Linked DNA regions of Elephas maximus indicus. The main gene of each other region encodes a partner of the protein of the gene in region 4 in a complex. Links are inferred from orthologs where the notes say so. Each region holds a gene or a part of one and is shown on either strand. Other genes may lie near its edges.

What was found.
Region 1: the proteins of RAN (region 4) and RANGAP1 are in contact, whole or in part, in a cryo-EM structure (PDB 9B62), measured with the Homo sapiens proteins. The link is inferred for Elephas maximus indicus from reciprocal best matches to the Homo sapiens genes RAN and RANGAP1. Residues at the interface, in NP_006316.1 of Homo sapiens: Asp18, Gly20, Tyr39, Val40, Ala41, Thr42, Leu43, Gly44, Val45, Glu46, Glu70, Lys71, Leu75, Arg76, Tyr79, Asp91, Thr93, Ser94, Arg95, Val96, Thr97, Asn100, Lys123, Asp128, Arg129, Lys130, Lys132, Lys134; in NP_001265580.1 of Homo sapiens: Ser29, Gly58, Asn59, Thr60, Asp86, Thr89, Gly90, Arg91, Leu92, Arg93, Ile96, Asp121, Ala123, Phe124, Gly125, Asp127, Asn151, Cys152, Gly153, Met154, Gly155, Arg189, Asn190, Arg191, Gln217, Asn244, Asp245, Asn246, Thr247, Asp273.
Region 2: RAN (region 4) and XPO5 share a complex: the UniProt entries of both Homo sapiens proteins name them as parts of the nuclear export receptor complex. The link is inferred for Elephas maximus indicus from reciprocal best matches to the Homo sapiens genes RAN and XPO5.
Region 3: the proteins of RAN (region 4) and IPO13 are in contact, whole or in part, in a crystal structure (PDB 3ZJY), measured with the Homo sapiens proteins. The link is inferred for Elephas maximus indicus from reciprocal best matches to the Homo sapiens genes RAN and IPO13. Residues at the interface, in NP_006316.1 of Homo sapiens: Lys37, Lys38, Tyr39, Leu43, Gly44, Val45, Val47, Pro49, Trp64, Gly74, Leu75, Arg76, Asp77, Gly78, Tyr79, Ile81, Gln82, Asn103, Arg106, Asp107, Arg110, Val111, Tyr147, Trp163, Arg166; in NP_055467.3 of Homo sapiens: Leu33, Tyr34, Tyr35, Ile39, Lys42, Gln46, Leu49, Met50, Gln53, Glu73, Tyr76, Phe77, Ser80, His83, Ile84, Ile118, Thr121, Arg122, Val125, Val172, Glu175, Glu176, Thr179, Ser414, Asp415, Arg784, Asp785, Pro787, Asp788, Pro829.

What each region holds. Positions count from the first base shown.
Region 1 is NC_064822.1:185,454,432-185,461,630, forward strand, and holds the start of RANGAP1 (ran GTPase-activating protein 1), read right to left. Parts: upstream 3,011-7,199; 5' UTR 2,761-3,010; intron 172-2,760; 5' UTR 134-171; coding exon 22-133; intron 1-21. UniProt on the Homo sapiens protein: GTPase activator for RAN. Converts cytoplasmic GTP-bound RAN to GDP-bound RAN, which is essential for RAN-mediated nuclear import and export. Mediates dissociation of cargo from nuclear export complexes containing XPO1, RAN and RANBP2 after nuclear export.
Region 2 is NC_064819.1:108,009,019-108,016,853, reverse strand, and holds the start of XPO5 (exportin-5), read left to right. Parts: upstream 1-4,817; 5' UTR 4,818-4,995; coding exon 4,996-5,100; intron 5,101-5,464; exon of another isoform or gene 5,465-5,554; intron 5,555-6,305; coding exon 6,306-6,427; intron 6,428-7,682; coding exon 7,683-7,755; exon of another isoform or gene 7,756-7,762; coding exon of another isoform or gene 7,763-7,792; intron 7,793-7,835. Other genes in the region: POLH (DNA polymerase eta), read right to left, coding at 242-376, 616-761. UniProt on the Homo sapiens protein: Mediates the nuclear export of proteins bearing a double-stranded RNA binding domain (dsRBD) and double-stranded RNAs (cargos). XPO5 in the nucleus binds cooperatively to the RNA and to the GTPase Ran in its active GTP-bound form.
Region 3 is NC_064821.1:86,205,767-86,212,823, reverse strand, and holds the start of IPO13 (importin-13), read right to left. Parts: upstream 3,001-7,057; 5' UTR 2,324-3,000; coding exon 2,240-2,323; intron 526-2,239; coding exon 1-525. UniProt on the Homo sapiens protein: Functions in nuclear protein import as nuclear transport receptor. Serves as receptor for nuclear localization signals (NLS) in cargo substrates.
Region 4 is NC_064840.1:1,475,081-1,482,038, forward strand, and holds the start of RAN (GTP-binding nuclear protein Ran), read right to left. Parts: upstream 3,019-6,958; 5' UTR 2,925-3,018; intron 2,396-2,924; 5' UTR 2,386-2,395; coding exon 2,350-2,385; intron 1,841-2,349; coding exon 1,756-1,840; intron 1,674-1,755; coding exon 1,548-1,673; intron 154-1,547; coding exon 1-153. UniProt on the Homo sapiens protein: GTPase involved in nucleocytoplasmic transport, participating both to the import and the export from the nucleus of proteins and RNAs. Switches between a cytoplasmic GDP- and a nuclear GTP-bound state by nucleotide exchange and GTP hydrolysis.

The DNA.
Region 1 (7,199 bases), on a different chromosome or scaffold from region 4:
CCAGCCCATGAAGGCACTCACCATCTTCCGCAGTGTTGAGTTTGAGGCTCTTGCCCTTGAAACTCAGCTGTCCCCCAGCCACCTGGGTTTTGGCCAGCGTCTCTGCCAGCTTGGCAATGTCTTCGGAGGCCATGCTGGCCACGCCAGTGGGCTCCCCTGGAGATCTGCAAACTGAGAAAGCACAAGTAGCATTAACAAAGGAGTCTCCGGAGGCTGGTGGTTGAAGGGACAGGATAGAACATCACCCGTCTCAGAGACCTGACCCCACCTCCCCCTGCTATGGAGGCTAAACCACCAGGAGAAATGAAAACAGCACAGGAGAAGCAGCAGTTCTAGAAAAGTGAAGGAGGCAGCAAAGACACAAAAACATCACATCTCAGCCTCTGAAGAGCTGTCATCTCACCACAAGTCCTCCTCTGCCCAACTGCCCAGCTGGGGCCACCTGGCAGAGCCATGTGATCTGCCCCTGTTCTGGGCCCCCAGTGAATGGCAGCTGAGTCCCAGACCAATGGCTGCAGAGAGTCTGCCCCAAGCACACACCCGACTCATCATCTTGGCTGCCGTCTGTTTGAGGGTTCCATTCCTCAAACAGGACACAGATGGCTATGGGATCCAGGTCATCCATCCCAGGGAATGCCCCACCACCCACGCTGGCATAACTCTGGGGGTGGGGCACGAAGGTAGGCCCACTGCACGCCTAGGCTCAACCTTGGCTAGGAGCCTGGGCAACCCATGGGGGCCAGGCCTCAGAGGTTCCCAGGAGACCAGAGCACTCTACGTCACAACAGCCACCATCACAATAGGCCAGGGACAGCACTGCTAGAAAAAGGAGTTTCCAGCCTGGAGCTCAGCAGACCGGCAGAAAAGACAACTCCACTTCCCCAAAGAAGAGATGGCAGGTAATCAGGGGGGACCAAGGAAGAGAGCTGATAAATGATTCAGAATTCAGAGGTATCCATGGAGAGACTCCTGCCCAGAACTCCTCCCCCAATCCAGCCATCCTCAAGACGCAGCTGTGAGAGCTCCCCAATCCTCCCACACCCCCAGGTCTCCTCCAAACAGCCAGCTTCCCACCCCCTTCTCCTGATCTGAAGTCTCATTACCCTGGTTTGTCTGTGTCTGTTTGTCTTTATCGGCAAGCTCGGTTTATTCTGGATATAAGCATCCACTCATTCATTCAAGAAACGTTTATGCATCACTACTCTGTGTTAAAAGGAGCCCTGGTGGCGCAGTGGTTAAGCACTTGGCTGCTAACCAAAAGGTCAGCAGTGGTTTGAAGCCACTCCACAGGTGAAGGATGTGGTAGTTGGCTTCCGTAAAGATTACAGTTTTGGAAGCCCCTGGTTCGAAGCCACTCCACAGGTGAAGGATGTGGTAGTTGGCTTCCGTAAAGATTACAGTTTTGGGAGCCCTATGGGGCAGTTTTCTTCTGTCCTACAGGGTCACCATGAGTTGGAATTGACTCTGCAGCAACAGTTTTTTTGTTTTTACTCTGTGTTGGACATGGTTCCAAGTACCAAGAGGACGGCAGTAAGAGACAAAAAGCCTGCCCTTGTAAAGCATATGTTCTAAATAAGATATTTAGTATGTTAGTGGTAAGAAGAAACAGGAAAGGGAGTAAGGAGTTTTTTGCAAGTTAAAGCAAAAACGGTTAGGGAAAGTATTATTAGGAGACAATAAGATCTGAAGGCTACAGGGACTACACCCTGCAGGTATCTGGGGAAGGGATTCCTGTAAAGGGAACAGCAAACACAAAGGCTCTTGGTGGGGGAAGGAGAGGGGAGTTAGGGGAACTGTGAGGAGCCCCTTGGGGCTGAGCAGTGAGGGAGGGAGAAAGGAGGTATGAGCAGGAGGCCCAAGTCACGAAGACCATTTAAGGACTGTGGGTCTTACTCCAAGTGACAAAACCACTGGGAGTTTCTAGCAGAAGGATGTGATGAGGGACATGATGTGCCCTTAGGTATGTTTTGACAGATCACTCTATCTGCGGTATAGGGCCTGGCCTTTAGAAAGTGCTGGAAGAATGACTGGATGAAACTGAATAAAAATTACCACCACCCCCTCTTCCAGGGCTGGGATGGGGCAATTTGAAGCTGGAAGCCTGGTGGTGGGGCTTCGAGGTGGAACGGGGACACAGATCTTCTCAGCTGGAAGGAGGCCCACACTCAGTCCAGTCGACCCCTCCCACCCACTCTAAAGACGAAAAACATCGAAGCACAGAGGTGAATTGATTTGTTCAAGGTCAGCAAGGGATCAGCAGCAGAGCCAAGGCCACCAGTAAATACGGAAACAGCCGCCTCCCTTCTCGGCAGGAGCGCAGGGACTTTCTCAGGTGCAAACGCATCGCTCACCCAAAAGCGCCAGCCGTGACTCACACCGATCCCCGGGGGCTGCAGCGCCCTCCGCGGGCCGTGGGCGATGGGGACGCGGCGACGGGGGAGCGACGCGTGAAAGCAGGCCTTCGGTGACAGGCGAGCAGCGCGGGAGCCCCACCCGGGATCGCCACCGACGCCACTGCTGGCAGCTGCGGGCTGGGCGGCCTCGGTCGGGCGAGTCGGGCGTCCTCTCTGAACCTCAGTTTCCCCCTTTGTGAAAGGGGCCAGCGCCCCCCACCCCACCCACCTCACCTCCGCGCTCGGCCGTCGCCAGCATGAAGGAGGAGGCCGAGGGGACACCGTCCTCGCCTAGGTCCAAGGTCGCCCGGTCGCCCCTCTCCCATCCCAGGCAGGTGACGGGAAAGGAAAAGAGCCCCGAGCCTACCGTAAACAGGCGGAGCCGCCGCGTGGGGCGACCCGAGCGCGCGCCTCAGCCCGGCAGGGCCGGGAGCGATTTAGGGTCCGGGTCAGGTCAGGTCGGGGTCGCCGTCTCTAAGTCCTGGAGGCTCGATGTCCAGCCCGCACGTCTGTCCGCTCTCCCACAGCTTCTAGCCACTCACGTCTCCCACACCACCTGCTCCCCACACGGCAGCGGATGATGGCGGAGGAGGAGGATTTTGAAAGCCGGCAGTTTCTTTCCTTCGATTTGATTTGTTCGAGGCCCAGGCCGGCTTCTCCATCCCCCGCGCGCGTGGCCTATCGGGTAGGGTAGTCTAGTTCTCCTGCGCGGGGGAGGCAGGCGCGGCAGGAGCGGGCACTATGAACTACCACACCCATGATTCATTGCATTCCAGAGTGCCCCCCCCTCCCCCCGCCTCTCCCTCTTCGCCCTCCCATTTCGGCTTCTGGCTCATTCTCTCGGAGACCACAGGGCGGCGCTTAACCGGGAACTCCCAGAGAGACTACAATTCCCCTAATGCCTTGCGGCGGGCCCCTCTCCGCCTTTCCTGAAAGGCTCCTGTTCTCATAACTTTATTGACAAAGGCTGGGGCTGCCAGAGGCACGCTGCTGGATGTTTTCAGCAACAAATAGATATCCGTTTCTTGAAAGAAAAGACTCGTCTTTTTTGTCGCATAATATCGAAAGGAAATTCGAAGACTTTCACATAAATAGCCACAAGTTATTAAAAAGTAAAAAAAGGAAATACGATCTCTGTAGGAGAGATACTGCGGACACCACCTTAACCAAGGGGTCCACGTTAACATCAGACAGGACGAACTGACCTCTTGCGACTCAGATGTAATGCACAGAGAAGACGCAGCATCACCATCCTGTCAACGGCACAAAAAATGAATCTAATCATGAGGAAACATCGGACAAACCAAAACTGAGGGACATGCTACAGAATAACTGTTCTGTACTCTCCCAAAAATGTCTGTGTCAGGAAAGAAATAAAAAATGAGAAACTGTTGCAGGTCATAGACTACAAAGACACAACAACTAAATGCAATAAGTGGTTGGATTGGTTGCTGGAAGGGGGGGTGCTATAAAGGACAATGTTGAGACAATCAGCAAATTTGACTGTATATTAAATAGTTTTTTATTGTACCAGGGTTAAGTCTTCTAATTTTGATTATCGTACTAGGTTATGTAAGTGCAGTGCAGTGAGTTACTTAATATGGTCCTTCTACCCATAGTCTTTGTAACTCCCACCAAATGACTGAGTGGAACTAGACAAATAAGATGCTTGTAGCCCATCAAAGGGATTGGATAGCCTGCTAATAATGTAAATAAGGCACAGGGCACCCTTGTAGGGGTGGGGCCATGCAAATAAACCCTAAGGGGGGGATTGGCCAGTTTTGTCATCCTGCTAGGCTTAAAATGAGCCCTCTTAGAGGTGGGAAGGCAGGTTCTCACCACCACCAAGAAAGAAGAGCCAGGAGTAAAGCATGTCCTTTGGACCCAGGATTCTTGCACAGAGAACCTCCTAGATCCAGGAGACAGAGACCACTGTAACACCCGAAGATGGCGGCAGAGAAGCGGTGGCACAGAAGCGGTGGCTGGGGCAGCAGAACTAGGAAACCGGCAGGAGATGGTGCAGTGGGCTTCCCAGCCCACAGGTTGAGAAAATGGAGCACCTTCAGACAGGAAGCTCACTGGCAGATTGGGGTGCCCCTGGACACTTATCAGCAGAGCTAAAAGAGTTTTGTAACTCTTGCCCCAGCAGGGTAGAGACCGAGGGCCAGAGAGAGGCCTGCCTGTGGGCATAGCCAAGGAGCTATCCTGAACAAAGAAGTATGTCCTGAGTAGTACCTGATTCTGAATTGTAACCTGTTACTTCCCTAATAAACCCCGTAACTGTATGGTTAGTGGGTTCCGTGTGGCCCTTGCAACGCATTATCAAATCCAGCAGAGAAGTAAGACAGTGCCATGGGAGGAATGGTTGACGTCAAAATTGGTAAAATGGTCAGAGGGTGAGGGCATATATGACCTCTGCCTCACAGGAATCAGCCTTGGGTTGTTGATCTTCATTCTCCTTCCCCCTCGTGGAGTTAGAGGAGGCCAGTCACCCTGCCACACCGTTTTTGTAGTAAGAGACTGCCTGTGTTCTTGGGAAATATCTACTGAACTAATTAGGGGCAAAGGAACATGATATCTACAACTTACTCTTAAATGGTTCAGAGAAAGAAAATACATACATATAAACAGTTGTTGTCAGGTGCCATCACGTCAGTTCTGACTCAGTGCCCCTATGTACTGCAGCACGAAACGCTACCCAATCCCGCGCCACGCTCACGGTCCTTGTTATGCTTGAACCCATCGTTGCTGCAGTTGTATCAGTCCGTCTCTTTCAGGGTGTATGAACAGAGAATGATAAACGTGACAAAATATTAACAAGTGAATCTGGGTGAAGTGTATCTGGGAGTTCTTTGAATGTTTTTGCAACTTTTCTGTAAGTTTCAAATCATTTAACCACAAACAGCTTTGGGATAGCTTTTAAAAAAAAAAACAAATAGATTTTAACCATTATATTATTATAACATGGGGGCCCTGGTGGCTCAGTGGTTAAGAACTCAGGCTTCTAATCAAAAGGTCAGCAGTTCGAATCTACCAACTGCTCCTTGGAAACCCTATGGGGCAGTTCTCTCCTGTACTATAGGGTCACTATCAATTTTTGTAATCAATTGGAACCGACTCGATGGCAATGGGTTTGGTTTGGTTTATAGATAACATGCGTTTGTTATAAACAATGCAACCAATATAGAACAGGAGAAAGAAAAAAGTAACTGGGACCTGAAACTAACACGAGAGCTAATCTGTGGCAGCCTTCTTTTCCATGTTACCTCTCACAATCCTGCCCACACACACGCATTTGCTTTACTGGCAATTCAGGGTTAAACAGATCAGGAGCCACACCCTTTCACATGCAGCTAATTTAATCTTTACAATCATGAAGGAAGTGAGCATCATTACCACCCTTCAAAGGCAAAGCTGTGAGGAAACTGAAGTCCAGACCTAATGGGACTTTGGGTCCTGGTTCACCCAGCTACTGAGAGGTAGCACCTGCCCCATAGGTCCCCTTCCATCCCATCACATTGCCTGCTCTCCCTCTCCTTCTCTGCCTGCAAGGTCCATATCAAACAGCACCTCATCTAGGAGGCCTTCCTGTGCCACTCCAGCCAGAATTAGCCTTGCTCTCCTCTGGGCCCCCACAGCAGTTAGCTTTCTCACGGTCAGAGGTAGCAATGTTCTTGAGGGCTTCTTCCCCAGACTTCGAGGGCCTCTGAGGACGGGTACTGTAGCCAACCTGGCAGCATCCCCTCTGGGCATCCCCACCACAGGCGCTTCGGTTTTCCTCCTTCGAACTGGATTCCAGTCAGGCTCACCGGATGTTTGCTTAAAATGAGTCATCATCGGAGACGTTAGAGACACTCCCAGTTAGGCCTGACGCCTGTGTGATTCCAGCTTAAACAAAACCAAACCAGCTGCTGTGGAGTCGACCGTGACTCACAGCGACCCCATGTGTCTCAGAGAAGAACTGCGTTCCATAGTGATTTCAATGGCTGATTTTATAGAACTAGATCGTGAGGCCTTTCTTCCAAAGTGCCTCTGGGTGGACTCAAACGACCAGCCACTCAGGTGGTAGCTGAGTTAATTGTTTGCAACACTCAGGAACTCCTGATTCCATCTGTTGTTGTTAGGTGCCATCCAGTTAGTTCTGACTCACAGCGACATCACGTATAACAGAACAAAACGCTGCCTGGTCCTGCACCATCCTCATAATCACCGTTAAGCTTGAATTCGTTGTTATAGCCACTGCGTCATTCCATCTCGCAGAGGGTCTTCCTCTTTTTCGCTGACCCTCCACAGATGATGTCCATCTCTGAAGTAGAGAAAACATATTTTCTTTAGTGTTTTAGTATTGAAGTAGAGGGAATATATTTTCTAATGTTTTAATATAACTGTAGTCTTTGAAACGTAATTACTTGCTCTGGAATCTGTCCCATGATTGTTCCTTTAAAGACAAACAAGGTAATCCATTTTTAGTTGCTGATTAAACTATGTTCCTCTCCCAAGGAAAAAAATACGCAAAACTGAGGTAGCTGAATAAAGCTTAGATCCATCTTGTGACAGAAACCAGGATGGCATGAAGAGACTTGCAGGACTCCAGGATGGCATGAAGAGACTTTTCAGTATTTTCCCCATTTATCACGGTGTTGCTTATTGGTCCAGTTGTATGACGGTTTTTGTCTTCTTTATGTTGAGGTGCAATTCATACTGAAGGCTATGGTTTTTGATCTTCATCAGTAAGTGCTTCAAGTCATCTTCACTTTCAGCAAACAAGGTGTTATCTGTATATCGCAGGTTGTTAATGAGTCTTCC
Region 2 (7,835 bases), on a different chromosome or scaffold from region 4:
AAACCATTAGGGAAGTAAAACAGTGCCAAGGGTAGCAACTGTTATAGGTTATAATGGCTCTGAGCTGCTCCTGAAACGCAATATCAAAATCTGTTTTCTTTTCAAAGAGACAAGATGGCTGACCAAGGGGAACTTTTTCAGACATTGTTTACCACAAAACAGGTTTGAAACACCAGTCCCTAGCCTCGTAGACATTATTTCCAACTCTTCTATTCCCTGTTAAACAAACTTTCCTTCTTACTTTGTGAGGTCAGCTTTCCCACGGGACTCATGAACTTGTACCAGAAGAAGATCTGGACATAACTTCTTAGCATCATCTGCCCACATGCTTCTAGCAACTCCGAAAGCACGAGCTTCATAACTTACTGCAATTATCCTAAGGTTAGAAAAAAAGGAAGAACAGAAAAATATGATTCCATTAGGACAAGCAAAGACAATTAGAAACTTAACAACATAAACAGGCTATAAACCTATAACAGTACAAACTTTTTGGCCATAGATGCCACCATTCAATCATAAACACAACAGTTCAGAGATCTCAAAAATAAGACCTAGCATATATCCCTACAGATTGAAAGAGTAATTGATGGTTATAACAATAACAATGATACATACCCACCACCCTTCCATGATCTGTACTGTGCAACTGCACAAGGTTTATTCCTCAAATGAGGATTCTGCCGCTGCTCCACTTGAACAAAAAAACAGTCCATGTCCACTAAAGCAACTACCCGATCCTGTCCAGGGTAGGTGGTAGCCATTTTTCTGGAAAACAACATTTCATGGACAATTAGAAACGATACCTATTGGAATGGATTCTTAAATACAAAAGTACAAGCAACACCAACAACAAAAACATAAACTGGACTTTACTGAAGTTAAAAACTTTTATGCATCAAAGGCCAATATCAAGAAAGTGGAAAGACGACCTACAGTACAGGAGAAAATATTTGGAAATCATACAAAAGAACAAACAACCCAGTCAAAACACGGGCAAAGGACTTGAATAGACATTTTTCCAAAGAAGACAAATGACCAATAAACACATGATAAGATGCTCAACATCATTGGTCATTAAGGAGATCCAAATCAAAACCAGGAAATGAGGTACCACTTCACACCCACTAGGATTGTTATTACTTAAAAAATAACAAATGTTGGCAAGGATATGGAGAAATTGGAACCCTCATCCATTGCTGGTGGGAACGTAAAATGGTGCAGCTGCTGTAGAAAATAGACTGGTGGCTCTTCAATCAGTTAAACATAAAATTATATGGCCTAAGCCAGACACAGCCAGACACGAAAGGACATATATTGCATGATCCCATTTATGTGAAATATCTAGAATAAACAAATGCATAAAGACAGAAAATAGATTAGTGGATACCATGGGCTGGGAAGATAGGGGAATAGGGACTTATTGCTTAATGGGTACAGAGTTTCTGTTTGGGGTGATGAAAAAGTTTTGGAAATGAAGAGTGATGGTGGTTGTATAACTCTGTGAGTGTGATTACAGCCACTGGATTGTATACTTGAAAACGATTAAAATGGCAAATTTTATATTGTGTATATTTTACCACAAAAAAAAAAAAAGGATACCTAATCCAATGTGCCATTCTTCCATCACAGAGTCACCATGAGTACACTGGGACCTAACGAGAGTGAAACAAGCATTTTCTATACTACTGACAGAATAAATTGGTTCAGTTTTAGGAAGATAATAAGTATAAAGGCCTAAAAATACCTACCTCCCCAAAGAAATGAACACTTCACAAAAGAAAATATACAAACATCCAATAAGCCCATGAAAATGGGTTCAAATCATTAATCTGTTGCCGTCGCGTCAATTCCAACTCAGAGTGACCCCATAGGACAGAGGAGAACTGCCCCGTAGGGTTTCCAGGGGCGGCTGGTGGATTAAAACTACCAACCTTTGGTTAGCAGCTGAGCTCTTAACAACTGTGCCACCAGGGCTCCCGACATCATTAGTCATGGGCCAATGCAAATTAAAACCACAATATACATCAATAGGGGAATAGAGCCAACAGCTAATCTAGCTGATAGACAGAACTTAAGTATAAGTTCAGGGAAAAGAGAAGCAGAAAATGATATACAACATCTTAACATTTATGTAAATACTTTAACGTCTTATTTTGAAATAATTTTAAACTTACTGAAAAGTGACAAAAATAGCAGGGTTTCCATAAACATAGTTTCCCCTAATGTTAACATTTTACACAGCACAATTATCAAAACTAAAAAAAAAGAACATTATTGGTATAATATTATAAATTCAACTACATGCTTTATTTGGATTTTACAAGTTTTTCCACAAATGTCCTTTTTCTGATCCAAGACTCCATCTAGGATCCTGCACAGCATTTAGTCATCATGTCTCCTTAGTTTCTTCCAATCCATATACTTTCTCAGTCAGTCTTTGTTTTTCATGACCTTTACACTTTTGAAGAGTACCGGTCAGTTATTTGGAGAAGGTCTCAATAAGATTTTGTCTGATCTTTTCCCACATTTATAATGAGGTTATGCATTTTTTGGCAAGCTTTTCTAAGTGTATCGAACCAGGAGTCTTGCCTTCCAGTAGGAGATCTGGGTTCAGTCTCCAGCTGGTGCACCTCAAGTGTCATTGGAGGCTTGCGTATTTCTATGATGCTGAACAGGTTTCAGTGGAGCTTCCAAACTAAGACACACTAGAAAGAAAGGCCTGGTGACCTACTTCTGGAAAATCAGCCCCTGAAAACCCTATGAATCACAATGGTCTGATCCAATTGTGCATGGGGTTTCCATGAGTCAGGACCACTTGTAGGCAGCTAACAACAAGGTAGTGTTCCCTGGATTTGTCACTGAAAAGTTACTATTTTTCCTTTTGTAACTAATGATCATCTTGAAGGAGATACTTTGAGACTATGATAATATCCTACTTCTCCTCAAACTTTCACCACTAATTTAACCACTCATCAGTGGATCTTGCTGTAATAATCATTATTGTAGTGTTCTAATGGTGATTTTCTACCCATTTATGTAAACTTTGAACACAAACAATACTGCACACTGTTCGCAGATACACACATAAACAAAGAAATGGATGGTAGTTGGAAGAATACACCCTACATATTTGAGGGAGGGTACAGACTAATGTTATCATCTAACATTGTTACTGATCTGGAAGAAGGAATAAAAGTAAAGCAGTGGCTCCCAAACTTTGTTGCACATTGGAATCATTTGGGAACTTTTAAATAATACCGATGTCTGGTTTCCACCCACAGAGATTCTAATTTAATTGGTATGGGGTGCTTCCTGGGCATTGTGATTTTTAAAAACTCCCCTGGGCATTTCTAATATGCAGCAGAATTTGAAAACCACTAACTTAAAGTAAATAAGATACCTATGGAAACAAACACCAGTAACTGATGATTTAAATTTGAGAAACAGGCTATACAGTTGAGCAAGCACCCAACTGTATTCTTAAAAAAGCCTGTAAAAAATTGACATACACCTTGAAAAAAAAGTGTCACACAATTACAAAGCTGGAACAAGTGGAAAGAGCAACAAAGAATGAAGAAAATCAGAGTATTCAAGGCATTAATTCCTTATAAATTCCTATTGACCACTCATCTAAAACAGGCAGAATGTGATACTTTAAACATGTGTAAGTTAAAACCACAGCATGTGAGAAATTTCTTTATTTTGTATTGGCTTTTATGTAGTACTGGAACAGATAATGCCTGAGTAAAAATAGTAAATGCATTGTAACAAAAACAGCACAGCCCAAAGTATCATATTAGATACAAATATCAGAACTGGAGTGTGCATAGGAAGCAGTGATTTAAGCCCAGTGAACATTTTAGTGAGTACAGAAACAGATATGCAGGCTTTAACAGATAATGAAGATGTTGAGGTGTTCAGTTTATGTATTTTGGTGGAGAAAGCAAGAGCTTTTTAAGGATGGAAAATGAAACACACTCTACCAAAACCATGCTTTGGGAACGAGAATTACGCTACTTTGAAATCGTATATATAGCAAATTGTCAATACCACACGAACCTTCAATAATTGTAATTATTCATCTTTAAATATCTAGAGTCATTCCAATATGTACAAAACAAGTTTGGTGCCTATGAAATGATGACATATCCAGGAAAGTAAGTACAAGTGAAGAGGGAGATTTAAGAGTTATAGCGAAAAATATTTTTTCTAAAAGAAAAATCCCCTTAGAGGACAATACCAGGGCCTTAACTACGTTTCTATTTTCACGTAACTTAGGCCCCCCCCACCCAAAAAAATTGGGGGGGGGGCTAATTTTGTTACCAGCCTCTGCTGTATCACAAAACCAATAGCCAAGGCAGCATGAAAAGTCTAAAAACATTGATACTGCACAATTCTAAACTCTCTTACCAGTGTGATAAACACCTGGCAGAACTGTCAACGGCGGAAGCCGCAGTTGCTGGGTTCGGAGTCCACTGGAAGGGAGATGAAAGGGTCTTGAATATCTTGTCGCCTTTCCAGGACCAGTCCAGTTGTTCGAGAGAGATCTATTCCCAGTGTCGACAGAGAAATGGGCCAAGGGTCGCGAAGGATCCTTGCCCGGGCAGGCGCCCGCACAGCCAGGAGTGTGGTTCAGCCAAGATCTAGGCGCTAAGCCGCAAGCCCTTCTGACAGATGATCAGACTGCGCGCACTCCGATAAGGACCGTTGACGCGCCTGCGCACCGCGACCCTTCCGTCGCCCGCTCCGCCCACCGCAGTAAACGTCACAAGGCTGCCGCCACTTCCGTGGGCGCGTGCGCACTGGCGGCTCGGGCGCGTGCGCAGCGCCGGCACCTTCCTGGCTCGAGCTTCAGCAGCTCACGCTCCTCCCCCCGTTCCCCATCCCCCAGCCCAGCGCGGCCCGGTACCAGCTTGTGGTGCCGCCAAGGGAGCCGTCCGTGCCTCGTGCTCTCAGGACGGCCGCGTTGCGCGCTGGCGGCGCGTGGCGCTAGCCATGGAGATGGATCAAGTGAACGCGCTGTGCGAGCAGCTGGTGAAAGCGGTGACGGTCATGATGGACCCCAGCTCCACCCAGCGCTACCGGCTGGAAGCCCTCAAGGTAGCCGGGGTCCTGGCGCCCCCGGGCCTGGTCCGAGACCCTCCCCTGACCCCGACTCCCCCGGCCCCGGTCCCCTGGACCTCCTTCCCCAACCCTTGGGGGGGCCTTCCCTGGCGGCGGTCCACGCCTCTCCCTCCCCCGCCTTCACTGCTCGCCGCGCTTGCCCTTCGTCCCTCCGTTTTCCTCACGCAGGCTGCGCTCCAAATCCCGCATCTCTTCGCCTTCCGGTGGCGCACGTGTTGATCCCGCCCCCAACACCAATCTCTTTCTTTAGAGTTTTCCCTGCACTAAACGTTTCGCTACTGATACACTCTCCTGATCCATCCTAACCAAGCTCCAGTCCACCTAGTACACCTTTACTTACATCCATACACCTCTCGCTGACCCCTCTTCTGTGTCTTGGGCATTTCTGGGCTAGTTCTTACGCGCCCCACGTTTTTTAGTGTGTGATAGTCTTGAGCAAAGATGAACTTCTACCGCTTACTTTGCATTTTAACAAGGGCACTTGGGTTTCCTGAAAGTAGTTTTCTTGAGTCCCGGATGCTTTGGTCCTGGTACTGACTCATGTGTTACAATTCCGGAATCCTAGTACAAATGGGGATGTTATTAGAAAAAGAGCTTATACCCCTATCAAACAATGTTTGTGAGCTCTGAGAAATGGCTGCTTAGAAAAAATATTTGTGCTGTATATATTTTAAGTGTGCAATTTCATAAAATAGCGCCAGTTGGAGGAAACTTTACAGTAGATGGATGTATGCGCCAGGGTTTGAAATAAAAAACAACTGGCTTCTATTAGTCTGTTTTTTGTTATGGAATATTTAAAACAGACATGAAAAGTAGAGATAATACTGCAGTGACTCCTGGGTATACTCATCACCTAAATTCTGTACTTTTAAGTTCTAAATACAGCAGGATTTGTTGACGTATAACAAATCCTAGAAATTGTCATTTCACTTTTATGTACTGCAGGGGTATATCGTTAACAATTTTTTTTTACTCCTTTAGGTCATTTTTTTTTTTTTTAATATTAGTAAGGCCGTACCATGGAAAATCTGGAACCATCAGAGTGAAAGAAATGTTTATCATTTCTTTACTCATACAGTAGTAATCTAGATTTGATCAGATTAGAATTTCTTAGAACGAAGCTTATTTAGTCTCCACACTGTCTTAACGCCCAAGAGAAACACTAACTTTTTATTTTTCAGTTTTGTGAAGAGTTTAAAGAAAAGTGCCCTATTTGTGTCCCGTGTGGCCTGAGGCTGGCTGAGAAAACACAAATTGCCATCGTCAGGCATTTTGGCCTTCAGATCCTGGAACACGTTGTCAAGTAAGGCATTTTACGAGTTTACCACTGAAGTATGTAAGAGAGCAAATCTTTATTTCTTGGATAACTCAGAGGTGTTCTTTAAAAACTTGTTGCCGTGGAGTGGATTCCAACTCATAGCCACCCTATAGGACAAAGCAGAACTGCCCCACAGGGTTTTCAGTGCTGTAAATCTTTATGGAAGCAGACTGCCACATCTTTCTTCCTTGGACTGGCTGCTAACGTTTCAGTTAGTAGTCACGTGCCTCCAGGGCTCCCTAGATGTTCTTTAAGTAAGCAGAATAGAGCATTCTTCAAGGGAAAAAGGAATAATACCCAGAATTATCAGATCCTCCAGGGAATTCTCATTCAAGACTGAACCTTTCTGCTCTTCAATTTCTTCATCCTGTAAAGTGCCTGCTACATACTAAGCATTCAAAAAATAATAGCTGCTAGTCACTCACCCAGCATTTATTGAATATCTATATATGCCGGCAGATCTCAAAGCCTCTTTAGGATTATACAGTGTATAAAACCCAAACCAAACCCAGTGCCATTGAGTCGATTCTGACTCATAGCGACCCTATAGGACAGAGTAGAGCTGTCCCATAGAGTTTCCAAGGAGCACCTGGCAGATTCGAACTGCCGACCCTGTGGTTAGCAGCTATAGCCCTTAACCACTACACCACCAGGGTTTCCATACTGCGTATAGATAAATAAATTTGTGATTGGACATTACTTTTGATTTTCTTTTCTTTTACGTTTTGAGTGTGTACCGTCTCTGAATGGCACTTCCAAAGCAATATTATATGTGAATAACTGAAAACTCCTCCAATGCCTATCACAGAAATCCATTTTTAAGACTTAGCCTCAGGTTTTCTGGAATTGTGCTGTTATTACCTTGTAAACCAGCGTAATAAGGTAGTTGGTGTTATCAGATTGTGTTTTCTGGAAAAAACGACTATATTGTAGTTGTCCCAGATGTATATTTGTTTTCAGTCTATTAATAAAATCATGGGGGAAGCTGATGTGTGCATAAATCCTATGTGAATTCCGGTTAATGGAGTGCTGTATATATAAACCCCTGGAATTTTTCTGTTTCTAGCATTTTGGTTAAATGTGGACTATTTTTGCCCATTCTTTGAAGGGTACAAAATCAAAAGTATAATTTTCTAATGAAATTGCCAACATAATCTAACACAGGAATCAAAACTAGTTTCTTCTGAAGAGAAGCCTTCTAATGGGTTCTGTTTCTGACTTTCTCTTTTTTGGTGGCCAGGTTTCGATGGAACAGCATGTCTCGATTGGAGAAAGTATACCTGAAGAACAGTGTCATGGAGCTGATTGCAAATGTAAGGAATGGTTGGTTGGAAGACTTGTGTTTCCAAGGTAGTTTAGACAAAACATGACTTCTTCAATTTAACATTTGCAT
Region 3 (7,057 bases), on a different chromosome or scaffold from region 4:
TGGAAAGACAGCCCCACACTCCACCGCCAGGCTGGCCCGCACCAGCCCTTTGCGGTATTGGGGCAGGCGACTGGTCTGGAACTCCTCGGGCAGCACTGTCAGCAGCTCTAGCAGGGCCAGGCAGCGGCCCTGGCCATCCACTGGTGAGTCCTCAGCCTGGAAGAGCCGTACCATATCTGCCACAGCACATGGCCAAGCGTCAGGCATCATGCTGAGAGCCAGCGAGGCCAGTGCCACACAGAGACGAGTCAGCACAATCTTGGAGCCACTGGCAAAGTGGGTGATCTGGGTAAAGAGCTGTGCCTTTAGGCTTTCGTACTGGTCAGTGGGGATGTCACTCCAGTAGCGAGAGATTTTGATGTGCAGGGCACTGGCCCCAAAGTACTGGATCTCAGGCACCTTGTCGGGCTGCAGTAGCTGCCAGCTGAAGTGCCAGGCCTGTGGGGAGACCTGGGCCTGCATCAGCCACTTCTGAGCCAGGTTCTTGTTCTCAATGTTGGGGTCATAGTAGAGCTGGTGCAGTGCCTGCAGGACAGCACAGGACTGAGCAGATGCTGGCCACTCTGGATCGTGCCAGAGCCCAGAACAGAGGGCATGATTTGGTCCTGCAAGACTGCCCCCCTCCCTGACTGGGGGGCTGGGCAGGAGGGAGAGCTCAGGGCTCGGCAGTGTTTCCTGGGCCCAGGGTCCTCTGATATCTTGAGAGCCTGAACCTTGCCCATGCTCTACCATACTCTCTTCTTGAAGCAAAACGTATGAGTTCAAAGAGGGAACCCAGGAAAGCAGGAAAAAAGGAGGCTGAGATCCCCAAAGGAGAGGCACTTGAGGTAAAGGGCAAGGTCCAGGTGGAAGGAATGGCTCCGTGGGGAAAAAGCCAAGCCTGAGAAAAGCATGGCGCAGCCTCAAGGGCTCTGACCCTCCCAGGCACAGCTGCTCCCATCAGCTCCAACAGCTCCCTTCAGCTCCCCCAGGATCATCCCTAAGTCACTCCAGATGCTGGCACCAAAGGCAGTATGAAATCTGAGCAGGACTTAGACTTTGCCAGGCAGCCCTGAAGCAGAGATATACTGGAGGGGAGAGTGAGAACACCTCTCAGAGAGCACATGTGAGGGTCCAAGTCGGTCCAGAGAAGCCTTGGCCACAGCTGCAGCCCTGGAAAACGTCTAGCCTTTAGATCTCAACTAGCAGAATCCTCAGGGCCCCAATTCCACTGGGACTTCACGCAGTAAGAAAACAGTGGCTTATCTCCCCGGTAGCACATGGAACCTTGCGCCACCATGCCAACACTGCCCAGCCCTAGGGGGTGGGAGAGTGAGGCCAAGACACTGACCCCTAAGAAGGCTCCACCCAAGTAGGCTTAGCCCTATCTATACCCCTGCCAGCCAGTTGTCTGGCTCCTCGGGATGCTGAGGCAGGCAGAGAACAGAAGCAGAAGGGATGCATTCTCACAGTTTGGCATGGCAACAGGGTTCAAGAATAAGTACTGAATATCTCCAGCCTCTGCTTCCAGCAAGGTGGCCCCAGGCATTTCCCCACTCATCCCAGGAGGCATGCATTCCTGCATTCCAAGCCCCTGGAGACAGAACCCAGAAAAGAACCAGAGAAGCAACCCCAAAAAAGGTGGACTAAGCAGGAGGGCAGCCTGGGAGGCCCATGGCAAGGGGTTATGTGGGGAGGTGAGTAGGGAAGCGTCCTGTGAAGCTGCCAGCAGGGCCAGGCCCCTCCGACATAGCACAAAGTAAAGGGGACAGCCACTCCCAAAGCACCCTTACCAAGGAAGAGCAAAAACATAACCCAGATTGTTTTAATTCCAGATTATTTTCGGAGCCCCAGGTGCAACAAAGTCAGGGTCCAGGATGGTCTAGCGCCTGTATGGTTCCTGGGAACTAAGCTGCACATTTGCTGGGTTCCTGGTTTCCTACTGCACTGCTCATGCAGTTTCCATGGAGCTGGAGCGTGGCCAGCCTGCCTTGGAGGTCTAAGCCATCAGCTCCCTGAAGCGACCATCCCAAGACCCTACAGTATCTCTCCACAGGGGACCCGTGTCTAAGGAAAGACAAAAATAGCCCATTAGGAGACTGCAAAACTGCTGTCCTGCCTGCCAAGAGAGACAGCAAAAGCCAGGTGCTCTGGGGCACCATCCCAGCAGGCATCCAGCCCAGGCCTAGGCTTGGGCTTCAATGTCAGTTCCCAGAACTTCTGCTCTGTCACTGGAGTGCCCACCCCAGGGCCCTCATACCTTCTCCACGTTCTCCACAGTGAAGTCCAAGGCTGATGCTGCTCCAGCCCCTGCAGCCCCTGGCTGCTCCTCCCGCCGCTCCATCTTTGCTCCCTCCCCAGTAGGGAGGTAGACCCTGACCTTTCTCCTGCCCCAGCCCCTTGGCTGCTGACGCCCTGCTAGACCCCAGCTTGGGTACCCAGGGAGTGGTAGGGTGACGGGGGACCCAAGGCAGGCATGGCTACGGAGGCCTTCCCACCTCGGCTGGAGGTGGGGTGCTTGCCAGAGATCAAAGGGGGTGCTTATATGAGGAGACCCCCTGAGGAGGACTCCCAGGAGAAGGCAGCCGTCTGAGTGGAGCTATTAGGCGGAGGTCCTAATGGTAGGTCACGGCTCTATCCTCAGAATCTGTGAGAGGCAGTCATGGGGGAGGTCTGTGAGGGAAACCGAGCCCCTGGCCCGTGAGGGATCACAGGGTCGTTGACCTGTACCTACAACACCCTCATCTGGGGGTGCTCTCGGGTCCTACGAGGAGGTCACGAGGGTGGGGAGATCACGGGGGAGAGAGCCTTTTGCGGGTTACGGAGAAGTCCAAGGAAGCGCGGGGGTGCAGCTTTGAGAGCTTGGGACGAAGGGTCCGTGGAGTTGAGGGTCTGTGGCAGGTCCCCTCCGCTCGGCCTGGCCCACGATCTGCTCACCGCCCAGCTCCGGCCCCTCTACCGCCGCTGCCTCCGCCCCAGTGACTGACAGGCGAGCTGGTCCAGCCGGGACGGGGCGGGGACCTTGGCAAGCGCAGGGTGCCCCGAGCGCCTGTCCCCGGCCCCGCCAACACAAGCCCCCCCCCCCCGCCTGCCTTGGCCCACCCCGACCCGGCACAGCCCGGCACGGTCCAGCGGAACTGCGCGGAAACTCATTCCGGGTCCCTGGCCCTGTCCTCGCGCCAGTCTGCGCGACCCCGAGCAGGCGACGGAGCGGCTCGCCGCCCGAGGCCCCCGCCGAGCCAAGGCCCCGCAACTGTGCACTCTGGGAAGTGTAGTCCGTGTTGCGCCGAGCCGGAGGGCGGTGCCTGGCGGCGGAGGCCGGGAGCACGTGGGCCAATATCCGCTGAGTCCCGGTCCGCCCCAGGCCTCCCGCTGACTGCCGGCACTTCCGGACAGGCAGTCGGTGGCGCTGCGGAGCAGATCCCGAAGAGGTTGTGACTCAAGGGCCCGGTGGGTGGAGGTGGGAGCTCGGGGCTGTAGGATCGAGGAACCCAGTTCACTCTGGTTGCTCCGCTCTGGGCGCAAGCGTCAGCACCACCCAGAGAAGTGAGGGGACTTGGCGCGCCTCAGGAAAAAAAAAAAAAAAGGATGTCTCGCTTGGCCACCCAGACAGCTAGCAGGAATCCACATACCATGGACAGTGCTCGGAGAATTCCCTACGGTTTTTGGAAACACCACCACTCGTCTGTGAGTTTGTCGTACTCTGGAGGCTTGCGTGTTGCTGTGATGCTGGAGGCTATGTCACCGGTATTTAAAATACCAGCAGGGTCACCCGTGGTGGACAGATTTCAGTGGAGCTTCCAGACTAAGACACACTAGGAAGAAGGGCCTGGCGACATAATTCTAAAAAAAATGGCAAGTGAAAACTTTTTGAATAGCAGTAGTACATTGTCTGAAGGAACAAATCTGTCTTGGAAGAAGCACAGCCAGAATGCTCCGTAGAAGGAAGGCCGGTGAGACTTGACTCACATACTTTGGGCATGTTATCCAGAGGGATCAGTCCCTGGAGAAGGGTATCATGCTTGGTAGGGCGTCAGCAAAAAGAGGAAGACCCTCTAGGAGATGGATTGACACAGTGGCTGCAGCATGAGCTCAAACATAGCAACAATTGTGAGGATGGGGCAGGCCTGGGCAGTGTTTGATTCTGTTGTCCTTAGGGTCGCTATGAGTTGGAGACAGAACCTAACAACAACAACTTGGAAACAACTTCTCTCTATGAGTAATTAGAATAAGAATAAAAAACCAACCCAGTGCCCTCGAGTCGATTCCGACTCATAGTGACCCTGTAGGACAGAGTAGAACTGCCCCATAGAGTTTCCAGGGAGCGCTTGGCAGATTCCAACTGCCGACCCTTTGCTTAGCAGCCTTAGCACTTAACCACTATGCCACCAGGGTTTCCAGAATAAGAATAGCTCACCTTTAACTGCTAGGAACAGTACTTTGCATATTGTAGGTCCATTTCTCTCAGCAACTCTAAGGTAGGTGTTTTCATTCAACATTTTCAGATAAGAAACAGGATTTGGGGAAGGTTAAGCAAATCTTGGAAGTCCCTGGGTGGCTCAGATGATTAAGTGAACCAAAAGGTTGGTGGTTTGAATCCACCTAAGCACCTCAGAAGAAAGGCCTGGTGATCTACTTCCAAAAAATTACAGCTGTTGGAAACCCAATGGAGCACAGGTCTACTCTGAAAAACATGGAGGCTCAATGAGTCGGAATCGACTCCATGGCAACTTTTTTTTTTTTTTTTAAGCATATTTGTCCCTAGACACATAGCTAGGGTGGCAGAGTGGGGCCTCAGATCTGGTTTGCCCCGGTCCAGAGTCCAGCAGTCCCTGTGATACTGCCTTTCACCACTCCAGTTTGTTCCTTAGTTAACTCCTGCCAGCTACCCCAGCAAGAAAAAAAAAAAAATTAAAAGGGAAAGGACCTCTGTACTGTCCTAAGGCCTGAGAAGGTGGATGAAGTCTTCCTGAGAAGGAGAAGCTTGATCTGAGCTTGAGGAATAGAGTCTGGGGAGGAGGGCCTCTCCATATGCTGGTAAGCAAAGTCCAGGGAGAAGCTAGTCATTCAACAAACCTTTATCGAGAAAGTATTGGAAGAACAGCTAGTAATTTGTGTTCTGCTTCAGGGTATATATATATGTGGGGTGAGGAGGTGGGTGGAGGTTAGTAACAGAGATGAGGTTGAAAAGACAAGTTGGAAGCAATAGACTTCTGTAGTTTTTAACCTAAATGCAATGTGAAGCCAAGATGAGTTTTAAAGTGAGCAGTGATGATTGGATTTGCATTTTAGAAAATCTGTTTGCATAATGGAGGGTGAATTGAAGGAGGAAAGAGTAGAGGCAGGGGACCTTTGGTAGGAGTAAACCAAACCCATTGCTCTTGCTTTGATTCTGGCTCTTAGCGAGCCTCTAGGACAGAGTAGAACTGCACCATCGATCTTTTGGTTAGCAGCCAAGCTCTTTACTGTGCCACCTGGAATCCTTAGGAGGAAACAGGAAGCCAGAATAAAGTGGGTGATTCCAGACCTGTGCCTGGGTGGGGGAGGATGTAAAACGCTCTGGCTCTGGTGCTGCTTTTACTGTTGGAAGTGGGGGGAGGGAAGAAAGGGATAGTTACCTTTCAGCATGGGAGTTTAAGAGCACAGATTCTGGACTTAGGCCTGGGTTAAACACCTGGCCCTGCCCCTTTCTAGCTATGACTGCTCGGCTTCTTCTGAGACTCACTTTCCTATTAAAAAAAAAAAGCATAGTAATTCCTCCAAAAAACAAAACAAAACAAAACCCGTTGTGGCATCCTACTTCCAGTAAAGGACAAATTGAGGTGATTGACGAGTAGGGCTTGGTCCAGAGGCCACAACTTGGTTAATAGGAGTTTTCTTCCTACTTCCAGTCCAGGGCTCCTTCCTCTCACCCCGGAAGTCCCCCAGCAGATAAAGAAGCTAAGCATCACCAAAGTGGTTCCTGAACATGCTTCACAAATACCACCTAAGGCAGATGGACTAAAGTAGGCCCTATTGTTGTGTGCCCTCAAGTCAATTTCGACTCATGAACTGTGTAAGGTAGAGTAGAAGCGCCCCATAGGATTTCCTAGGCTGATATCTTTACAGGAACAGATCACCAGGTCTTTTCGCCCTTGGAACAGCTGGTGGGTTAGGATCGAGGACCTTTCAGTTAGCATCTGAGCACTTCACCATTGTGCAACCAAAAAAAATCTGTTGCCACCAAGTCTATTCTGACTCATAGTGACCCTATAGGGCAGAGTAGAACTGCTCCATAGGGTTTCCAAGTATGTAATCTTTATGGGAGCAGATTGCCACATTTTTCTCCCAAGGAGCAACTGGTGGGTTTGAGCCACCAACCTTTTGGTTAGCAGCCAAGTGCTTAACCACTTCACCACCCGGGCTCCACAGCAGGCCCCTACAAAAAAAAAAAACAAAAAAAAAAACCAAACCCCTTGCCATCAAGTCAATTCTAACTCATAGCGACCCTACAGGACAGAGTAGAACTGTCCCATAGGGTTTCCGAGGAGTGGCTGGTAGATTCGAACTGCTAGCCTTTTGGTTAGCAGCCAAGCTCTTAACCACTGTGCCACCAGGGCTCCAAGTAGGCCCCAGGAAGGGCCATTTCTTGGGAATCTCTATTCAAGGGGGGCCTTTAGGAGATGACAGTGCAGGATAGCTTAGAGCCAGTTGTAGAAGGTATGAGTAGAATGTATAGGTGTTAGAGCCTATGACAGTCTGGGAAGGGCCCGCAGATTCAGGAAAGAGCATCCCAAGGAGACAGAGCCTCTGTTGGGCACCTGGTGCCACCACCAATCCATGTCCATGTCCATGTCAAACTAAGTTCTCAGTCTGAAGTTTTTCACTCTACCAAAATAGTGTGAATTTGGACTGCAAAACCTGATGGGAGCCTGCTTGTAGATGCAAGTTCTTAGGGGAGGCTTTTTTCCCATTCTACTTAGCACCAAGGTCAGATGCAGGCAGTTTTCTTTGTAGTTCCCAGGTTTTGCAGGGGAGGGTAGGTAGGAGACGGACAGCTTTATTTCTAATTCACCCTTAAACTGTGGGCATGGCCCTT
Region 4 (6,958 bases):
TTGCCTTAACTTTCCTGTCCTTGATGTCCACTTTGTTGCCACACAACACAATGGGGATGTTTTCACATACTCGAACCAGATCCCTATGCCAGTTAGGCACGTTCTTGTAAGTAACTCTCGATGTTACATCAAACATTATAATGGCACACTGGGCTGGAAGGAAAACTTGTAGTGATTAGAACACACCTAGGAGTTTACTACACAGATAAGAAATGCTAACAGCCATGGACCAGAGAGACTGTTATCTCAGGCCTGCTCTGTGTCATCTACAGCCCTCTATTTCAAGTGCTCTTTCAATTTTGAAAATCTTAAATGACTATAACAGTATAGTTTAAAATTTATTTCTTTATTTTATTGAGCTTTAGGTGAAAGTTTACAGCCCAAGTTAATTTCTCATTCAAGAACTTATACACGTTATTGGTTTTTTGACATCGGTAGCAATCCCCACAATGTGACAGCACACTCCCCCTTTCTACTCCAGGTTCCCTGTGTCCATTCATCCAGTTCCTGTCCCTTCCTGCCTTCTCTTCTTGCTTTTGGGCACCTTTATATTTTTTTAAAACAGCTTGAAAGACATGACTGTATAAATTTCTTCTCCTATACCTCCCAAATACTTCATTAACACTGCCTCATTCCCCAGGAAGTATCTGAAGTAGATTAAGGGCCTAGCATGGAGCCTGGGAATCCTCATTAAAAAAAATAAAACCTCATAAAATTTATTGAATGTATACTAGAAAATAGTATAGTTCTATTTCAAAAACCTCAGATAAATCCATATATTGACCTGTAGGGACGGTCATAATATAGTTAAAAAGGCAATAAACTACAGACTATTTACAAGCATGATATAACTTCTTTCTTAAAAAACAAACCCTATGTGTTCATTTGCACATGGTCAGAGCAAAAGGTGTAGACATTTTCAAACAACTCTGCATTAGGAAAGTGAGATTTCAGGAAAAATTAGTATTTTGTTTATTCATCTTTGTTTTGTTTGGTGCCACAATGACCATTTATTTCTTTTACAGTTCTTAAATACTTTGGAAAAAATTCTGTAAAAACTGGTACAAAGGAGAAATTAGTTGTCTTATACAACACTTGTAAGATATAGAGCCTAGCTCCTCCGATCCTAGTATCTGGTCAAAGTGGTTTTAACATAACAAACAAGAAATAATCCTTAATAACCACCAAAATATATACCTGAACCCACATTTCCAAATACTTAAGTTGCAGCAACAGCTTGTCTGTTGCTTACTGTTACTGCTTTTAAATTTTGAGCCTCGGTATAAATCATAATTTTGTTTTCTTTTTCAAAATAACACCTAGCATGACAAAGCATGAAATAAAATGACACACGACAACTTTCGTATTTCCTCCCCCTCCACCTATAAAACAATGGTCAGCTTGCTGTAGGCAGCATGTCTTTTTTTAATGTAATTATATAATCCCCAGTACACCCAGAATTAAGCCAAGTATATGCTGGAATGGACTTTGGACACTAGAATACAAATTCTTTCCAAAACTACTCAAGTCACAGAGGAGACACCTACCTTGGATATAATAGCCATCTCTCAGTCCCCCAAATTTCTCCTGACCAGCTGTATCCCACACGTTGAATTTAATGGGTCCTCTGTTAGTATGGAACACAAGGGGATGGACCTCAACACCCAAGGTGGCTGAAATACAAACATTTCAGATTAGTCACTGAATTATTCACTTCATAAAAATGTCCACAGACCCTTTTCTCCCCCCACATACCTACATACTTCTTCTCAAATTCACCAGTCAGATGACGTTTCACAAATGTAGTTTTTCCAGTACCACCATCACCAACCAATACGAGCTGTTGGGATACAATTTTCTTTCAAGAAACAAACTCAAAATATATTTCACAAGCCTGGAATCACGGAGTTGTTAGAAGTGCCTGGACAGTATTTTAACTCAGTTAACTGATATTTACACTTAGTTATTACGTGGCCCTGTTACATCTAAATGCTGTGAGTAAATCACACACGAAGACAGTTTTCATATAACGTCCTCCCCTTCCACCCAAATGGGGGTCAACTCCTCGGAAATAGCATGTCTTTCCCAAGAATTATGTAACCCCCGGTACGGGCGGCCCTACTGAGTTTCCTCACCCACAAACCAGGGCTAGCCCCCCTCCCCCGTCACGGAGAGAGAGAATTAAAGGACCTCGTGCGGTGTCAGCACACACAAAGCGGCCGGTCAGCAGGCGCTGGCAGGGACCGAGGGATCCCCTCAACAACAGCCGCTGCCCCGGCCCCTCCTGCCCGCCCCCGGCCAGCACCAGCCCAGAGGGGCCACCACCAGCCCAGAGGGGCCACCACGTACTTTAAACTGGACTTGGGGTTCTCCTTGGGCAGCCATCGTGATGGTCCTGCAAAGGAAGGGGGACGGCGTGACGCGGCCGGGTCGCCACATGGCCGGCCCACCCTGGACACCCCACGTGCCGCCGCGGCCACAAAGGCCGCGGCCCATTCATCCCGCGGGCGGGCGGGCGGGCGGCCGAGGAGGGCGGGGGTGCACGGGCGCCATGGCGGCCCTTCCCGACGCCCGAGACGCCGGCCGGGCCTGATGGGCCCAGGGCTGGGCGCGGCCGAGAGCGCCTGGTCACGGGGCCGCCGGGCAGGCCGAGGCGCAGCCCGCACCCCCGGAGGCCGCCCCGGAGCCTCGCCGCCCGCTCGGAGCTCCGGACGAGAGCAGGGACGGCGGCCCCGAGGCTGTGGGGAGGAAAGCGCGCCAAGGAGGCCGCCCGCCCGCCCGCCCGCCGTCCCGGAGCTAACCGTCTCCTCAGGGCCGCCGCCTCCCGCCCTCCGCTGCCCTCCGCTCGCCGCTCCGCCACGGCCCCGGCCCTCCCCGGCCGCCCGCCGGCCCTCTCCACCCCAGCGCCCGCTGCCCGCCGCTACCTTCGAGAAGCGTCTCCGGGCCCCGTCTGACTGAGGGATGGAAAGATGGCGGAAGCGCAATTCAAATGCCCGGAGACGCAGACGACGCCGGCGCGCGCTCAGGGCGGGGCAACGACGCGACGCGCTCCCACGCGGCCCCGACGGGAGCGCGCACGCACGCAGGCGGTGAGGGCGGCCGTAGCAGCCGCCGGGCCTGTGGGGCGGGGCTGGCGGCGCGCAGGGTGGGCGCGCGCGCTCCCGCCGGCCCTCGCGGTCCCGTTCCCGGCGGACTCCGGGCGCATGCGCCGACGCGCTCCCGGCGCGCCCAGCTCCCGCCGTGACTCAGAGGCGGAGGACGGGCTGCGGGCCTGGGCGGGAAAGTCGGGGCGCGGCCGGCGCACGCGGAGCACCGGGCCCTCAGTGCCGGGGGCTGGGGGCCTTGGCGTAGCGACCCACGCGTACCAGTTGTGCGAGCGTTCGCCATGGTGCAGGAGGCCCCCGCTTGTCCCGGGCTCCGAGCCATCCCTCCCTTGTCTCCCACATGCTCTCCCCGACCTTTCCTGTCACCACGTGCTCCCCGCAGCGTGCCCAGGGCTTAGGGAGGGTCTCAAACACTTGGAGAATGAACGAACCAGTCCTAAACCACTACTAATCCAAACCAAAAAGGACCCAAGCCCCTTGCCTTCCGGTCCGTGCCGATTGCTGGCGATCCGCTGTCATGTCAGAACTGGGCTTCATAGGGCTCTCAGCGCTCCATAGGGTTTTCTTGGCTGGTTTTTTTGTTTGTTTTTAATCTTTATGGAAGCCGACTGTTCTTAGACGCCATATAGTTGATTCTGACTCATAGGGACCCCTTGTGACAGAGTAGAACTGTCCCATAGGGTTTTCTTGGCTGGTAATCTTTATGGAAGCCGACTGTTCTTAGACGCCATATAGTTGATTCTAACTCATAGGGACCCCTTGTGACAGTGTAGAACTGTCCCATAGGGTTTTCTTGGCTGGTAATCTTTATGTGAGAACATGGCCAGGTCTTCCTCCTACAGAGCCACTCAGTGGGGGGGTTCTAACTGCCAATCTTCAGGTTAGCAGTGGAGCGCTTAACCATTGTGCCACCAGGGCTCCTTATGGAAGCTCATTAAAAACCCATTGCCACTGAATGGATTCTGACTCGGCAACCTTATAGGACAGAATGGAACTGCCCCATTGGGTTTCCAAGGAGCGCCTGGTGGATTTGAACTGCCGACCTTTTGGTTACCAGCCATAGCTCTTAACCAGTATGTCACGAGGGTGTCCGGAAGCCCAATGCCAGGCCTTAATTCTGAGGGGCCACTGGGTGGGTTTGAACCACCAACCTTTAGGTTAATAGCTTGTCACAAACTGCTTGTGACACTGAGGGACTTTACTCCCAATCTAAACAAAAACAAAAAACTCTAAACCCATGGCCATCAAGTTGATTCCCACTCATGGCGACCCTGTAGGACAGGGTGGAACTGCCCCATAGGGTTTTAATCGACTCCACGGCAGTGGTTTGGTTTTTTGTTTGTTTGTTGAATCTTCATAGAAGCACACTGCCATATTTTTCTCCTGAAGAATGACTACTGGGTTCCAACCACCAACCTTTTGGTGAGCAGCCGAGTGCTTAACCGCTGCACCACCACAGCTCCTACTCCTAATCTAACCCATTGCCGTCGAGTTGACTCCAACTCATAGCGACCCTATAGGACAGAGTACAACTGCCCCACAGAGTTTCCAAGGAGCACCTGGTGGATTCAAACTGCCAACCCTTTGGTTAGCAGCTGTAGCACTTAACCACTGTACCACCAGGGTTTCTTCCACAACTAATCTAGGGCCTACCAAAACCAGGTCTACATCCCATTCACTCCAGAGTTCAATCTTCTTACTCCCAGGCCTCCATCAGCACCAATACCAGTTGTCATGGAGTCCATTCCAACTCATGGGGACCTCGAGTATGTCAGAGTAGAACTGTGCTCCGTAGGGTTCTCAGTGGCAGGTCTTTCAATGGAGGCACCTCTGGGTAAACTGAAATTTCCAACCTTTGGGTTAGCAGCAGAGGAAGGGGTGAATGAAGCAAGGATTGATAGTTACTTTCCCACGATGAAACACAAGCTACTTTTGTCTTAGCACATCTGATCAGTCAGTCTTTGTGGTCATGTCTAGCCAACAGAACGAGGAAATTCTGTGTTTGGACCTTGGCAGATGTTCTAATCCTAGTTAAAAACCTGGATGCAGTCAACAAGTTTTTGGGTTCCTGACACTTGTAGGGAGAATGTGATGAGCAGTCCGGACCAGATTGTGCACTGACAGAACTCACATGCCATGGGGTTGCCTACCTCATAGGGTCCGCAAGCTCAACAAGCATTAGCTGTTATCATCACCCACTTTTAGTAAGGATGTGGACAGAATGGCGTCCTCCAACCTTGTCTCCTGAGTCTAAAGTCAGGTTTTGGCATCTGTGTAGAGAAGCACAGATTTTTTTAACTGACGTATTGGAACCTCCTTCCCAATTCATTTCTGGCAGCAAGAACAGATAGCTAGTCACAGAGATCGGACTCGCCAAGTTCCCCCAGAAAAGATTTCACCATGAGGACTCTTCCTTGGCCAAAGAGAACCCAAATGACCAAGAAGAAGTTAGCATGTAGTTTTAAGCACACCTGTAAGTAAGTATATTGGGAACTCAAGTGATGCAGATTGGACACAACACATCAGAGGACCTGCCTGCTGGGAACTCAAGTCCAAGTTCCCTATAGGACCCTCAGGAAAAAGCCAAGTGAAGACTCAGATGCTGCTGGCGGGAGTGCGAATTGTTACGGCCTCTTTGGAAAACAGAAACTAGTAAAACTGAAAGTATCCTTAGCTGTGGCCCTGGATTTCCATTTCTAGGTAGGTGCACTAGAGCTAATCTCCCATGTTTGCGCTGGGAGACACAACGCCGACTCTACCTGAACACAGGAAGAGTAATCCTAAATAGCAGCGTTACAGTTTAGTAAAAATCAGAGATTTAAATATATAAACGTACTCAAATGTTAATGCTATTTCATGTTGAAGGCTAATGGTTAAGCAAATAAAACATTCACCAGATACACGGCCAGGCTATTCCATTTATTCAATTTCCACAAACTTTGTTGACTTTGCAAACCATTAAGAAGCTGTCCTTAAAGACTTCATTATTAACTCATTCACCAGTCAAAAATACCAAATGAGATATTTTCCTTATCTGACACTCAATTTTCTACATAGGGGGCACAACAATGAACAAATTACATGTTACTTCTTAGTCACTATGAGTCGGAATTGACTTGACAGCAATGGGTTTGGTTTTTGGTCTCAGCATTAGCGCCAGCGTTATTTTCCTTAAAAGCAAAATGGTGAGATTTGTCATATTTCCATGCAACATGGTTGACCAAGCACCTCTTTCATCTAAAGACCAGATTACATGGTCAAGCGTGCACATGTTGCCGTCCAGTCCATTCTAACTCATAGCGACCGTATAGGACACAGTAGAACTGCCCCATGGGGTTTCCAAGAGGCAGCTGGTGATTCGAACTGCTGACCTTTCAGTTAGCAGCTGAGCTCTTAACCACCGTGCTACCAGGGCTCCCAGATTAGTACAGAAGGTACAGATTAGTGGCCTATCTACTAACTCCAACCCTGAGAGGTGTTGTTTGACCAGGCTGGGTCACAACATGTTTTATATCTGAACTGGTTGCCAGCATTTAAAAATGTGATGGTTTTAAAATACACCCACAAATTCTTTGATACTCCTCCCCTGAAAGGGTTGAGCCTCATTCCCCTCTCCTTGAGTGTAGGGAGGTCCAAGCGACTCATTTCTAACAGATGGCCTATGTCAGAATGGACAGTTGTGACTTCCAGGACTCAGTCATAAAGGCTTTCACCCTGCTCCTTGGATCACTCACCCTGAGGGAAGCCAAATACCATTCTGTGAGGACAAGCAGGCAACCTATGTGTCCTGTAAAATTTAACCTTGCCCTTGGCTGTGAGGAGGTAATCTCTAGTCTCTGTTTGCCTGGGGGCCT